Macaca mulatta: one gene and its partner. The protein of the gene in region 2 purifies or fractionates together with the protein of the main gene of each other region. This does not show direct contact. Links are inferred from orthologs where the notes say so. Each region holds a gene or a part of one and is shown on either strand. Other genes may lie near its edges.

What was found. Proteins that work in one complex are often made in the same cells at the same time.
Region 1: the proteins of POLR3H (region 2) and CRCP purify together in Homo sapiens (affinity purification with mass spectrometry; 4 studies listed by BioGRID and IntAct, with this or other methods). This does not show direct contact. The link is inferred for Macaca mulatta from reciprocal best matches to the Homo sapiens genes POLR3H and CRCP.

What each region holds. Positions count from the first base shown.
Region 1 is NC_133408.1:58,875,932-58,883,768, forward strand, and holds the end of CRCP (DNA-directed RNA polymerase III subunit RPC9), read right to left. Parts: intron 2,871-7,837; coding exon 2,721-2,870; coding exon of another isoform or gene 2,519-2,720; 3' UTR 472-2,518; downstream 1-471. UniProt on the Homo sapiens protein: DNA-dependent RNA polymerase catalyzes the transcription of DNA into RNA using the four ribonucleoside triphosphates as substrates.
Region 2 is NC_133415.1:9,957,252-9,965,188, reverse strand, and holds the start of POLR3H (DNA-directed RNA polymerase III subunit RPC8), read right to left. Parts: upstream 4,871-7,937; 5' UTR 4,753-4,870; intron 4,633-4,752; exon of another isoform or gene 4,479-4,632; 5' UTR 4,459-4,478; coding exon 4,348-4,458; intron 807-4,347; coding exon 710-806; intron 383-709; exon of another isoform or gene 1-382.

The DNA of each region.
Region 1 (7,837 bases), on a different chromosome or scaffold from region 2:
GCTGGAGTACAGTGGCACGATCTTGGCTCACTGAAACCTCCGCCTCCCTGATTCAAGCAATTCTCCTGCCTCAACCTCCCAAGTAGCTGGGATTACAGGCACCTGCCACCACGCCCGGCTAATTTTTGCATTTTTAGTAGAGACGGGGTTTCGCCATGTTGGCCACGCTGGTCTTGAATTCCTGACCTCGTGATCCACCCCTCTTGGCCTCCCAAAGTGCTGGGATTACAGGCGTGAGCCACAGCCTGGTCAATTTTTATTTCTGAAACATTTACTATTAATGTGGTAGGAAAATTACACGGAATATATGTGCATTTCTTATAAAATTAAGTCTTCCAGAACCTGGTTTAACAAAAAACTGAGGCTAAATTCAGGTCTCAAATATAGAAACTTAAACTTTTCTTGAAATCCAATTAAAAATGTAGATCTAAATAAAGTCAGTTTTTTAAGAAAAAAATCACACATTTTAGCTTCAGTCAGATTTCACTTTATTTGTATCCATGACAATATTAACTCTTCAGATTTATAAGATGACAAAACTTGATAATTACCTGGAAACAATTTATTATTAACTAGGTTAACCCTAAATCCATCGAGAAAAACCACCTAACATATTCAGTGTTAACAAGAGACATTACGACCAGCCTGACCAATATGGCAAAACCCTATCTCTACTAAAAATACAGATATTAGCAGGGTATAGTGGCGCATGCCTGTAGTCCCAGCTACTCAGGAGGCTGAGGCACCAGAATCGCTTGAATCTGGGAGGGAGAGGTTGCAGTGAGCTGAGATTGTGCCACTGCACTCCTGGGCAATACAGCGAGACTGTCTCAAAAAAAAAAAAAAAAAAAAAGACAATAATGAGACAGATCGGCACACAGCACACATATGCCCTGAGAAATAAATCAACAGCTCCCAGTAAAATTCCCAATACCCTAGAGAGATTTACAAGTACAATCTGGTACTTTCATTCATTTTTTTTGAGATGGAGTCTCGCCCTGTTGGCCAGGCTGGAGTGCAATGTGCGATCTTGGCTCACTGCAACCTCTGCCTCGCGGGTTCAAGCGATTCCCCTGCCTCAGCCTCCTGAGTAGCTGGGATCACAGGCGTGCACCACCACACTCGGCTGATTTTTTTGTATCTTTAGTAGCGAAGGGGTTTCACTATGTTGGCCAGGCTGGTCTTGAACTCCTGACCTCATTATCCGCCCGCCTCCACCTCCCAAAGTGCTAGGGATTACAGGTGTGGGCCACCACACCTGACCCTAATCTGGTACTTTCAATGTTGCCTATAAACAGATTTCAGCTGAATCCCAGATAGTACGGTTAAGATGCACGGAACTGCAATCAATTGCCTGGGGAGTGGGACGGATGGATGGGCAGGAGGGTTGGAAGAGAAGTAATCCCATTAGCATTGAAAATGAAAGACTACCAATTTGGAAAATCGAATGTCTACGATCATTTTCTTCCCTAAAACAGGGAAGACAGTGAATGTGGAAAATCCAATTTTCAGCAATATTCGCAGGACCTAAGGCAACAACCACATGCCTGGGGCAACTACACTTTCCAAATCCTGAATTCCTGAATATTAAAAAGGTTTTCACATGGTAATAATCTTACTTATTTTTTTTGAGATGAAGTTTCCCTCTTGTTGCCCAGGCTGGAGTGCAATAGTGCAATCTCAGCTCACTGCAACCTCCGCCTCCCGGGTTCAAGTGATTCTCCTGCCTCTGCCTCCCGAATAGCTGCGATTACAGGCATGCACCACCATGCCCGGCTAATTTTGTATTTTTTTTTAGTAGAGATAGGGTTTCTCCATGTTGGTCAGGCTGGTCTCAAACTCCTGACCTCAGGTGATCCTCCTGCCTTGGCCTCCCAAAGTGCTGGGATTATAAGCATAAGCCACTGGGCCAGGCTAATTGTGTCCTTTTTAAAGGAGCAAACAATTTGACTGTTGTGCAAATGAGGCTCACCTGGTCTCAATATGAAGCACCTGCCCTGGGCTGCTGTCTCAGGGCAGGAAAGTGGGGTGGTCAGGAAGGCAGCCAACACTGTTTCTGCTGCCACTGTCACTAAGCCTGGAATGCCTGTTTTCAACTGCAGTGATCTGGTCCCTAACATTTAGCCTAAACAGTGAGCTGGTAAACAAAGCCCCTGCCAGCAGAGAAAAGGGGCTCTAGAGCTGTTGAAGGATTGGCCAGGCCGGTTCTTTTCTTATCTCAGTTGTTCTCGAGGAAATTCCTCTAAGGTGAGCCAAGGTCAGTGACTCATTTTAACTTAGAGTAACTCTCTGGGGTTCTAACCAGATTCCCAACAGTGCTCTGAGCCCCTGTTTAGTAAGTTCCCAGGGAAGCAGATGAAACTAATTAGGACATGGCCCACCAAAGAAGACACAAGCATTTTCCCCGCTGTGTATAGAGACCTCCCCACAACTGGGGCAAAGGCTGTGGAGGAAATCTTTCAAGCACAGAGGGGTCCACGGTCACTGTCCCCACCTTCAGCTCTCTGCCCTGACAACCTCAGCCTGTCTTCACCATGTTTCTTCTCCCCAAGGCACAAATATTTCTTTTTAGCTTATTTTTGTGATGTACCCAACTAACCACGAAGCCAGCCAGGCCTGCCGGGATAGAGGGTATAATCAAATAAACAATCCTCTCAACATCCAGGAAATGGCTGCTGGGCCTTCTGACGTCATGAAATGCCAGGGCCAGCTGTGCTCTTCTACGCTGGGTCCTCTTCGTCCATTGCCACGTCGCTGTTGGTCTTCTTCTTCTGCTCAGCCTCTGGCCCTGCAGGCAGAATGCTGGTGACAGTGTGGAGAAGAGCTTCAATCTGCTCCTCCGTGAGCCGCTCTTCACTCTCTTCCACCATCTGCAGAAGGAAAGAAAATCCTCCAGGGTTACAAATGAAACTCACAGTCCTGGGCAGCCCTGCCCACTGTGCTCACAGTCTCAGCCCGGCCTCCTGGCACACAGATCTCACGGCCTGGGTCCTCGTGAGTCCTCTCCATCTTCCAGATGGAAGGGTGGAGCCAACTCACATCCTGGACTGAGCCAATGCGACTGATCAAAATGGGTCAGTAAAAACTGAGTTGTAGGATAGCATTTTTCTTTAAAGAAAAGGAAAACTCCCAGCCTGGGCAGCATAGAGGAACCCCATCTCTTAAAAAATAATAATAATAATAATCAGCCAGGCATGGTGGTGTGTGCCAGTAGTCCCAGCTACTCGGGGGTCTGAAGTAGGAGGATCACTTGAGCCCAGGTTGAGCCAAGCACTCCAACCTGGGTGACAGAGCAAGATCAACTCTCAAAAAAAAAAAAAAAAAAAAAAGGAAAACGCTAACAGTTATACAACCACTGACACGCACAGAGAGAAGTCAACAGGTTGCATATGCATCTCTGAGAAGTTATATGGCACTTTATGTACTTTTATATTTCACAAGCACATCTGTAATTTTTTTTTTTTTTTTTTTTGGGATGGAGTCTTGCTCTGTGCCAGGCTGGAGTGCAGTGGCGCGATCTTGGCTCACTGCAACCTCCGCCTCTCGGGTTCCAGCAATTCTCCAGCCTCAGTCTCCCGAGTAGCTGGGACTACAGGTGCGAGCCACCACGCCCAGTTAACTGTTTGTATTTTTAGTAGAGACGGGGTTTCACCATGTTAGCCAGGATGGTCTCAATATCTTGACCTCGTGATCCACCCGCCTTGGCCTCCCAAAATGCTGGGATTACAGTGTGAGCCACCGCGCCCGGCACACAGCTGTAATTTAATGAACATCAACATCGTTGATGATGCCCACTGTGTGCCAAATGGTTTGGAGCCTTCTTTTTTTTTTTTTTTGAGACAGAGTCTCGCTTTGTCGCCCAGGCTGGAGTGCAGTGGCCGGATCTCAGCTCACTGCAAGCTTCGCCTCCCGGGTTCACACCATTCTCCTGCCTCAGCCTCTGGAGTAGCTGGGACTACAAGCGTCCGCCGCCACGCCCGGCTAGTTTTTTGTATTTTTTTAGTAGAGACGGGGTTTCACCATGTTAGCCAGGATGGTCTCAATATCTTGACCTCGTGATCCACCCGCCTTGGCCTCCCAAAATGCTGGGATTACAGTGTGAGCCACCGCGCCCGGCACACAGCTGTAATTTAATGAACATCAACATCGTTGATGATGCCCACTGTGTGCCAAATGGTTTGGAGCCTTCTTTTTTTTTTTTTTTTGAGACAGAGTCTCGCTTTGTCGCCCAGGCTGGAGTGCAGTGGCCGGATCTCAGCTCACTGCAAGCTTCGCCTCCCGGGTTCACACCATTCTCCTGCCTCAGCCTCTGGAGTAGCTGGGACTACAAGCGTCCGCCGCCACGCCCGGCTAGTTTTTTGTATTTTTTTAGTAGAGACGGGGTTTCACTGTGTTAGCCAGGATGGTCTCGATCTCCTGATCTCGTGATCCGCCCGTCTCGGCCTCCCAAAGTGCTGGGATTACAGGCTTGAGCCACCGCGCCTGGCTGGAGCCTTCTTCTAATCCTCACTCCCACTAGCAACAGCCCTGCGGGGAGGCCTCCCGTGTGCCTGGAGCTGCATCTTGCACTTCCCGTCCAGCATTTCCTTTCATCCTCTCAGCAATGCTGCCAAGAGGTAGAACTGGAATCCCCAGCCAGGCCTGCCCAGTCTAAAACCCACAGTCTCCCACACTCCACACCACACTGCCCATCAAAGGTCCACGCAAAACCTGGTTTCTGATGTGGTCCCAGAAATCTGAATCTAGAGATGATACGCACAGCCTGAGCCCCTAATTCTAAGCAGAATTAGGTCGTCAGCTGCCTTTTTAAAAGCAGCATGCAGGCAGTCAAGTTACTTAACCCTGTTTGCTTGGTGGCATCAACCATCGATCACAAACACCTTTCTCAGCTCAAGGTGGCCAGGTCCTATTCCACAGCATTCCCCACAGCAATCTCTGAAATTCGGCAAATGGAACCACAGGGAGTTCCAGAAAGAAATCCTGGCAGACTGAAGTAAAACAAGGTAATAGGACAGGCCTGCAATCCTGGAGAGGATCCCAGTCTGACCACCTCACTTTACAGACAACAGCACAGTTCAGGAAGTCATGTGACATGCCCAAGGTCACACCACGAACTCCTGGCAAAACCCTGGTCTCTCCACTCACTTCAGCCCAAAAGTGTTTCTGCAACTAGATAATAATTCTGGTGTCCCAGGATGGGGCGGGGGGATCCTGAGCGAATCAATGGGGGCTACTCCCTATGACACTGTGAAATAAAATGACCATTTTCTAAAGATTCCATGGCTCAGGAAAATGTAAATTCTCTTGGGAGAAAGAAACAATCTTCAACCCCTGCCCCCCCCTTTTTTTTTCTGAGACAGTTTAACTCTTGTTGCCCAGGCTAGAGTGCAATGGGGTGATCTCGGCTCCCTAGTAGCTGGAATTACAGGCATGCACCACCACGCCCGGATAGTTTTGTATTTTTAGTAGAGACAGGGTTTCTCCATGTTGGTTAGTCTGGTCTTGAACTCCTGACCTCAGGCGATCCACTAGCCTCGGCCTCCCAAAGTGCTGGGATTATAGGAGTTAGACACCATGCCCGGCCAAAAAGCCATGTTTAAAATTAGACATGCAAAGTTACAGTCTATAAAAAGCAGTAATCTAACATGTACTGCCCCCAAAGAATAAAGCAGAGAAAGGAGGAAAATAGCCAAGATTTGGTTATTTAATCCAGAGAAAAGATGATCTCCGTTTGAGGAAAGAATGTGCAGAAAAAAACTTTGCTAAATTCACTAACAGCCGAACCTTTTATCAACATCCAATCCTCAGGGTTAATTATAGTCAGGACCTTTTGTTTTTCAACCTAAGGTTCCCAGTCACAGGAAGAAACCCTACACTGCATTAAACTAAATGAAATATAAACAAAAAGAAACTTTCAGAAATAAAACACTAGCACCTCTTGGATCACTAGCGTAAATGACAATGCCTACATTATCCCTCACCCCCGCCTTTTCTTTTCCCAAAGAGAGTGGGTCTTACTCTGTCACTCAGGCTGTAGCATACTGGCGCAATCATCACTTACTGCAGCCTCAAACTCCTGGGCTCAAGCAATCCTCCTGCCTCAGCCTCCTGAGTAGCTGGGACTATAGCTATGTGGCACCATGTCCAGCTAATTATTTTTTATTATTTTTTGTAGAGATGGGGTTGCCCAGGCTGGTCTTGAACTCCTGGGCTCAAGCGATCCTCCCACATTAGCCTGCCAAAGTGCTGGGATTACAGGCATGAATCACTATGCCTGACCCTTCACCTTTTCTTTCCAACAGAGGAGAAACATTCCAAGAGTAAAGTTCAAAGCACCATCTCAAGGTTCTCAGATACCAATCATTTCAGGTAGTTCAGAACATAAGGACAAATAAACATAAAAGTCTGAAGTATCGATAGCTGAGTTAACACAAATGATAAACTTTCATTATTTCAGTCCCAGGAGCATCAAACTGGGTCGCTGATCTCCAAAAATGGCAACTCGAAGTTGCCAAACCTAATGTCCTACTTTCCTCAAAATGAGTCAAAGATCTGAGAGCAACAACGTACACTATTAAATATTTGATCCAGAACAGTTAACTAAACCTGGTTTTCTAAATTTCAATTTTCTCTAATGTAAAATGAAAGTAACGCCTACAGCAAGGACAAAAGGAGAACATATGTAACAGTGTTTTACAAGCAATAACACTCTATATGAGTCCAGACTTCATAATCACGAAATTACTAACAGGCCTAGATGGTAGTGCTGTTCAGGACAGTGGCCTGTGAGGTCACAGGATTCACTGACCTCAGCCCAGAGGGCTCACAAATCATTCCAAATCAATACACAACTGGGCACGACAAGTCCTAAGCCGGGTGGCCACCTCATTTCCTCACTGAGCCTCTGAGTCAGCAGGCAGTCATCAGAGGGCCACAGCAAATCACTGCTCAGGCGTAACTGAAGAGGTGAGGTTTCAGCCTCCAAAAGACACCTGGCTCCCAAGTGAATGGTAATAAATGTCGGACACTGGGACTGTTTTCTGGACCCAGGGAGAAAAAATGGCTCTAGTGTTGATATAGGGAACTTCTCACTCAAGTCCTTTGCGCTTTCCACTGTAAGTGAAACCTTTATTTCTTTTTGTTTTCTTGAGATGGAGTTTCGCTCTTGTCACCCAGGTTGGAGCGCAGTAGCGCAATCTCGGCTCACTACAACTGCCACCTCCCAGGTTCAAGCGATTCTCTGCCTCAGCCTCCCGAGTAGCTGGGATTACAGGCTCATGCCACCACACCCAGTTAATTTTTGTGTATTTAGTAGAGACAGGGCCATGTTGGCCAAGCTGGTCACAAACTCCTGACCTCAGGTGATCCACCCACCTCGGCCTCCCAAAGTACTGGGATTACAGGTGTGAGCCACTGTGCCTGGCCATTTGCTTTTTTTTTTTTTTTTTTAAAGACAGGGTCTTGCTCGGTCACCCAGGCTGGAGTACAGTGGCACTATCATAGCTAATTGCAGCCTTGAAATTCTGGGCTCAAGCAATCCTCTCACCTTAGTCTCCTGAATAGCTGGGACCACAGGTGTGCGCCACCACACCTGGCTAATTTTTTTTAACTTTTCGTAGAGATGGGGCCTTACTATGTTGCCCAGGCTGGTTTTGAATTCCTGGTCTCAAGCAATCCTCCCACCTTGGGCTCCCAAAGTGCTGGGATTACAGGCGTGAGCCACCATGTTCAGTCAAAGCTTTCATTTCTTATTCACTCTCTGGTGAGAAGAGATACTGCTACAAACCTTGGTAAACAATTTGCTACCTTTTGTAGCCAAATTCCAGAGTGGGAAGAA
Region 2 (7,937 bases):
CTCACAACAGTCTTGGAATATAAAATCTATCCTGAACTGCACCTGACAGATGAGGAAGCAGAGGCACAGAGCCATGACATATTCTGTCAGGACACACAGCTATTAAGAGGCAGAGTTCAGCTTTGAATCTCGAGACCACACTCTTACTTACTGTGTCCTACTATCGAAGTCCCCTCCCACAGCCAGCCTGCTGATCCCCCTTCCGTCTGCTCTCCACAGGCAGTGGGCAGTCCGAGGAATGGACAAGGTGCAGGGCTCAGTAGCAATGAGACCAAAAGGGCACAGACATAGAGCTATGATGTCAGAGCTGAAGAGGCCTTGAGAACCACCTAGTCCACATCCCAGGCCTCACAGATGAGGAAACAGAGGCCCAGAGAAGATAAGTCTGCCGCTGTCACCGGGTCAATTCCTGGCCAATTCAGGATGAGGCCCCAGGTCTCTCAACCTCCAGGACTCCCAGCACCCTCTGGCCATCTCTTTGGCTTTAACCTTTTAAAATTTTTAAATACTTTATTTATTTATTTATTTATTTATTTAAAGACAGGGTCTTACTATGTTGCCCAGACTGGCCTTGAACTCTGTGGCTCAAGAGATCCTTCCGCCCTCAGCCTTACAGGCACACACCACTGAACCTGGCTTTGGCTTGAACTTTTGCTACAGAAAACTGAGCCCCAAGAAACCCAATGCCCCAGGGACAGAAGATACCCACCTTTGGTGTGTGATGCGCCATCCCCAGGGAATACATAGGCATCCTCCAGTTTGGTGATATCAAACAGACATATGCAGAGTCCCACGCTGTACACGACCTGCATGCATACAAACATAGACACACAAGTACACATGGACACAGAGTGACCACAGGCCCAGCTCCCAGGCAGTCTGAACCCCTCACAACCGCAAGCAAGCCATGATTATCTCCTTTTTAAGGTGAAAATGAGTTTGTGGAGGAAACCAGGATAAGGAACCTCAGAACGATGCAGAGATCTGGAAGGAGCAGGGCCTCAGGTGACAAAACAGGTCCAGGTTCCAAGGCCAGCTCTACCACCCACTGTGTGACTGCCAAGAGGGTCACTTCACCTCTCTGAGCCTCAGTCTCCCCATCAGAGAATGGGAAATACCAGGCGGCAGGATTATAAAATAAAGAGAGATAACAGATGTGAAGCCCCTAGCCTAGTGCCTGGCTCGTGCGCTGAAAACAATCATCATTGAGGATCTTTGTTATTACTAGTGAGGACCAGTGACAGGAATGCTAGCTAAACGTGCAGTCTCCGACATCCCAAAGCCAATGCCAGAGCTCACAGTTTGGTAAGCGTCAGAACCATTGTGCTCACAACATCTTAGACACACAGATGCAGCCACAGGGACTGCAGCTGGCAGAGGGACACATGACCTAGGCCCCAAGAATGTGCAGAAATCCCATGCCCCCACCCCACACCATGGTGGTTCAAACAACTGGCTACTCAGTGTCTGCTTATCTGCCACCATGTCATCACCCCCACTTAGAACCCTTGCAGGAACTGTCCAAGAATTAGCAAGAAGCTCAGAGAACTCAGAGTTGTGGCCAAACCTCACCAAGATAAGGCCACAAGATCCATGCCCTTTGTCAGACCATGGATTTCTGTTTGGGCTTCCTCTCAAATGATTCATCTAATTGACTACTATAAGACTTGTCCCAACAGGACCTGTACTCCAAAGGGACTCCATTCCCTTCTTGGACTTTCTACCCCTTCTCTCTCCACAAGGTCCGTACCTCATCCCCCAACAGACCCTCACCTTCAACCTCACAAAGTAACTAGCAGCCATCCACTTAAAGACTCCATGAGTTCCCTTCACCACCTAACAACCTTCAAATCAACCTCACCTCTTCTGAAGGGACTGCCTCAGGAAGCTGAGCTTCCTCTTTCTGGCTCCTTCTCAGTCCATCACCTCCTGATGCTCCATGGATAAAGACCAGTACCTCATCCTACAGGGCTGTGTGGCCTGGCCCCCACCCACCTTTCCAGCCTACCCTTCCCTATGCCCAAGCCACACCAGCCTCTTCCACACCATGGTGGGTGTTGTACCCCTTCTTCTTTCTTCTTCTTTTTTTTTTTTTTTTTTTTGAGGCAAAGTTTCACTCTTGTCACCCAGGCTGGAGGGCAATGGCACGATTTCAGTTCACTGCAACCTCCGCCTCCTGGGTTCAAGTGATTCTCCTCCCTCTGCCTCTCAAGTAGCTGGGATTACAGGCGCCCGCCACCATGCCCAGCTACAGCTACTTTTTGTATTTTTAGTAGAGATGGGGTTTCACCATGTTGGACAAGCTGGTCTCGAACTCCTGACCTCGGGTGATCCACCAGCCTCAACCTCTCAAAGTGTTGGGATTACAGGTGTGAGCCACCATGCCCTGTCTGTATTCCTTCTTCACAGGGCCTGTGCACATGCCAGTTCCTGCCTTCAGGGCTCTTCTCTCCACCCAGCCCCTCCCACCCCAGAAAGGAATCCTCTGGTTGGCTCTACTTCACCATCAGATCTCAGTTCCAACCCCACCTCCTCACCAAAGCCGCAGGTTCCCTCATTCCAGGGGATGGTCCTTTGTTCCCACAGGTGTGTGAACATCTGTCCCTCATAGCATTTACCTCAATTTGTCACCACACCCTCAACTATGGACCCCTCTCATTCATATCTGCTTTTCCCAGCACACTATAGCTCAGAGCCTTGCCTCTGTTTCATTCAACAGACAAATGGCTGGGCGCAGTGGCTCACGCCTGTAATCCCAGCACTATGGGAGGCTGAGGCAGGCAGATCACCTGAGGTCAGGAGTTTGAGACCAGCCTGGCCAACATGGCGAAACCCTGTCTCTACTAAAAGTACAAAAATTAGCCGGGCGTGGTGGAAGGCACCTGTAATCCCAGCTACTCAAGAGGCTGAGGCAGAAGAATAGCTTGAACCCAGGAGGTGGAGGTTGCAGTGAGCCAAGATTGCACCACTGCACCCCAGCCTGGGCGACAAGAGCGGGACTCTGTTTAAATAACAAACAAACAAACAAACAAACAAAAAAACATAAAATTATGGAACATCTACTGGTGCCAGGCTCTGGCTAAGTGAGGGGATACTTCAGGGAAGAAGACAGATAAGTCCCTGCTCTCAAAGAGAGGGAAAGGAAAAAGTCTAAGATGGAAAGACTGATGCGACACAGAACACCTGGAAAGGGAGGACTGCCAGAGAAATGGCAGTGGGAGGACCTCTCAGCTGGCACTAAGGCACATAGGCACGGCGCAGAGATGGCGCACAAATATTGGCTGCTAGAATGAAGGGATGAACCTCCTGACAGTTAACTCTGTACTACTAGAACTGTTCATCTTCACAAAAACAATGCACTGGCCCAGAGCGGTGGCTCACGCTTGTAATCCCAGCACTTTGGGAGGCCAAGGTGGGGAGATCAAGAGATCGAGACCATCCTGGCCACATGGAGAAACCCCGTCTCTACTAAAAATACAAAAATTGGCCGGGCACGGTGGCTCACGTCTGTAATCCCAGCACTTTGGGAGGCCGAGGCGGCGGATCACGAGGTCAGGAGATCGAGACCAACCAGGCTAACATGGTGAAACCCCGTCTCTACTAAAAATCCAAAAAAAATTAGCCGGGCGTGGTGGCGGGCCCCTGTAGCCCCAGCTACTTGGGAGGCTGAGGCAGGAGAATGGCGTGAATCCATGAGGCAGAGCTTGCAGTGTTCCGAGATCGCGCCACTGCACTCCAGCCTGGGCGACAGAGCGAGACTCCATCTCAAATAAATAAGTAAATAATAAAAATAAAACTAAATACAAATACAAATACAAAAATTAGCTGGGCATGGAGGCGCGTGCCTGTAGTCGTCCTAGCTACTCGGGAGGCTGAGGCAGGAGAATTGCTTGAACCCAGGAGGCGGAGGTTTGCAGTGAGCCGAGATTGCGCCACTGCACTCCAGCCTGGGCGACAGAGCAAGACTCCGTCTCGGGGAAAGAAAAAAAAAAAAAAAACGAAACGAAACAAAACAAAAACAACAAAAAACCAATGCATGGCTGGAAGGACAGCAACATTTTATCCCCATTTTACAAATGGAAACTGAGGCCCAGAGGGGTTAACTTGCTTGCAATTGCAAAGTAATTTAGAATTGTAGAGTCTGACACTTCCAGTTACAACTCCCTTTTTTAAGCCCATTTTCTTTTGATCCCCTTCAACATCCTGTTTCACGGTGAACAGAAGTTCTGAGACATTAAGCCGCTTGCCCACGGCCAGGGCTTGGCATGACGGAGGCCAGGCCTGCGGCCGGTGGGCGGCGCTGGCTCTCCCGCGCCAAGGCCTGCCCGCGAGCCGTGGGCCCAGTACCTTGTTGGCCAACTTCTTGTTCAGCTCCTCGGCAATGGAGTCGTTGAGCTTCCTCTCAAACTGCCAAGGGGGGATCCGCACCGTGTCCACCATCTCCACCAGGACAAACATCCCGGTCTGCGCTGGGGGCTCTGGGAACGGGAGGGTCAGTCAAGCACCAGGGCCGGGGGCGGAGAGGATCCCCGAGCCCCTTGGTCCCGTCGCGGTCGCTGAGGCCCCCAGGCTGGCAGTGAGGCTGCACGGGGCGGTCTCGGGTGCCCGGTCCGGGCCATGCTCCGCTACTACAACGGGAGGAAACCGAGGCCAGAAGGAGGCGCTCTCTGTTCAGAGCTCCGGGTGCGCGCCCGCGCCGCGCGACCCCGCCACGCCACGCCCCGCACCCGCGCCACGTGCCGCCGCACGTACCGCGCACCACGCACCGCACACAGCCGCTCGGTTTTGCGTGGCTGCGGGCGAGATTCCGAATCCATCGCTTCCGGAAAACCCACCAATAAGAAGCCTCTGTCCGTCCGAGGCGCACAGAGCGTGTACCCGCGCACTGCGTGGGGCGGAGAGAGGGCGGGGGGGGGCGGGGCCTCCTCCTTTCACAGGAGCAGAGCGTTTTCCCAGCTCCCGACGGCGCTTTCTGGTTGCTAGGCGACCTCCGTGCAATACTGCCTGATTATCCCTCGCCTGGCCTGTGCTTTACCCGCCTTGCTGTCCTCCGCACAGCAGCAGAGTGATCCTTTGGGAACGCAAACATATATTACCACATCTTCTAAGTTAAAAAAAAAAAAAAAAACCACCGCAAACATAATATGCTTAGCACCCTTAAGTGTTCCGGAGACAAGGAGAATTGACAGGAAAGGAACAGTTGGGACTTTTCTGCGATGATGGAAATGTTCTGTATATTCTTTTCGGTGGTATAACATTGACGTATACAAGTGTCCAAACTAATTGAACTCAGGGCAAGATTTTTGCATTTATTTGTAGACATTATATCCCAATTGAAAAGTGATAATAGGCCGGGCGCGGTGGCTCAAGCCTGTAATCCCTGCACTTTGGGAGGCCGAGACGGGCGGATCACAAGGTCAGGAGATCGAGACCATCCTGGCTAACATGGTGAAACCCCGTCTCTACTAAAAATATACAAAAAACTAGCCGGGCGCGGTGGCAGGCGCCTGTAGTCCCGGATACTCGGGAGGCTGAGGCAGGAGAATGGCGTGAACCCGGGAGGCGGAGCTTGCAGTGAGCTGAGATCCGGCCACTGCACTCCAGCCTGGGCGACAGAGCGAGACTCCGTCTCAAAAAAAATAAAATAAAATAAAAAGAAAAGTGATAATAAATTGGAACAAAAAGTACAACCCATTGAACTTAGAATACTAAATCCAAGCCAGGGGTGGCGGTGCACACCTGTAGTCCAGTGATCTACAATCATGCCACTGCACTCTGGCATGGGTGACAGTGACACCCCATCTCTAAACGAAAGAGAAGAAGGAGAAGGAGAAGAAGGAAAAGAAGAGAAAGAAGAGAAAGAAGAAAGAGAAAAGCAGAAAGAAAGAAGAAAAGTCCAAAACCTTTATGGTAGTTCACATGGCCTTGCAGGATCTGATCATACCCCCTCCTATAGCCCCATCATGCTCTCTCTCCCCAACATTCCAGTCTCATTCGTCTTCACGTGATAGTTAGCATGGGCTAAAAGAATTTGGTAACTTGCCCAAGATCATGTGTTGACAAGTGGTAGAGATGGGCCCAGTCTGAACCTCACTACCCTGCCTTTAAAAACTGGTGAAGTGTAGATGTATACTGTAGTGTGTTTTAACCAAAATAACAATTTAGGTACTTAAAAAAGATCCTTGGGGTAAATGACAGAGGCACTTGGAAATGTACGGTGCCTTAATTTGCTGATTTCACAAGCATAGTGATCTCTCAGTGACACTGGCTGCAGTGATGCTAAATGTGGTCTTCCCTGCATGTATGTTTTTATTTTTAGGTCTGCTTCTATAGGATTTGAGGTACTTGAGGACAGGAGCAAATGCTACTTCAGCTCTTTATTCCCACAATCCCCTAACACATTCCTAGGAAGCATTGAGTAAGGTGTTTAGGAGATTAACATTAATTCTTCCTCTCAAATGCTTCCTCTTTATTCCACTCCCACTACTATTGCTTTGGTTCAGGCCTTTTTTTTTTTTTTCTTTTGAGATGGAATCTTGCTCTGCCTCCCAAGACTGGAGTGCAGTGGCGTGATCTTAGCTCAATGCAACCTCCACTTACTGGGTTCAAGCGATTCTCCTGCCTCAGCCTCCCAAGTAGCTGGGATTACAGGCGCCCACCACCACACCCGGTATTTTTAGTAGATATAAGGTTTCACCGGCCGGGCGCGGTGGCTCACGCCTGTAATCCCAGCACTTTGGGAGGCCGAGGCGGGCGGATCACGAGGTCAGGAGATCGAGACCATCCTGGCTAACACGGTGAAACCCCGTCTCTACTAAAATACAAAAAATTAGCCGGGCGCGGTGGCGGGCGCCTGTAGTCCCAGCTACTCGGGAGGCTGAGGCAGGAGAATGGCGCGAACCTGGGAGGCGGAGCTTGCAGTGAGCCGAGATGGTGCCACTGCACTCCAGCCTGGGCGACAGAGTGAAGACTCCGCCTCAAAAAAAAAAAAAAAAAAAGGTTTCACCATGTTGGCCAGGCTGGTCTCCAACTCCTGACCTCAGAGGATCCTCCCACCTCGGCCTCTCAAAGTGCTGAGATTACAGGCATGAGCCACCGTGCCTAGCCAATATCTGGTCATTTAAAAGTATGTGGTGGGGCCAGGCGAGGTGGCTAACGCCTGTAATCCTGCCACTTTGGGAGGCCGAGGCAGGCAGATCACGAGGTCAGGAGATTGAGACTATCCTGGCTAACACGGTGAAACCATGTCTCTACTAAAAATACCGAAAAAAAAAAAAAGTAGCTGGGCATGGTGGCACACGCCTGTGGTCCCAGCTACTTGGGAGACTGAGGCAGGAGAATCATTTGAACCCTGGAGGCAGAGGTTGCAGTGAGCCGAGATTGCGCCACTGCACTCCAGCCTGGCAACAAAGTGAGACTCCGTTTCAAAAAAAAAAAAGAGAGTGTGTCGTGGCCAGGCGTGTGGCTCACGCCTGTAATCCCAGCACTTTGGGAGGCCAAGGTGGGAGGATCACCTGAGGTCGGAGTTCAAGACCAGCCTGACCAACATGGAGAAACCCCATCTCTACTAAAAATACAAAATTACCCGGGCGTGGTGGCGCATTCCTGTAATCCCACCTACTCGGGAAGGCTGAGGCAGGAGAATTGCTTGAACCTGGGAGGCGGAGGTTCCGGTGAGCGGAGATCGCGCCATTGCACTCCAGCCTGGGCAACAATAGCGAAACTCCATCTTGAAAAAAAAAAGTGTGTGGCACCTCCCTCCCCCCACCCTCTCTCGCTCCTCTTTTCCCCATGTGACGTGCCTGCTCCACCTTTGATTTCCGCCATGATGGGAAGCTTCCTGAGGCATCCCTGGAAGCTGAGCCTATGCCAGCACCGTGCTTGCTGTAAAGCTTGTGGAACCACGAGCTAACTAAACCTATTTTCTTAATTTTTTT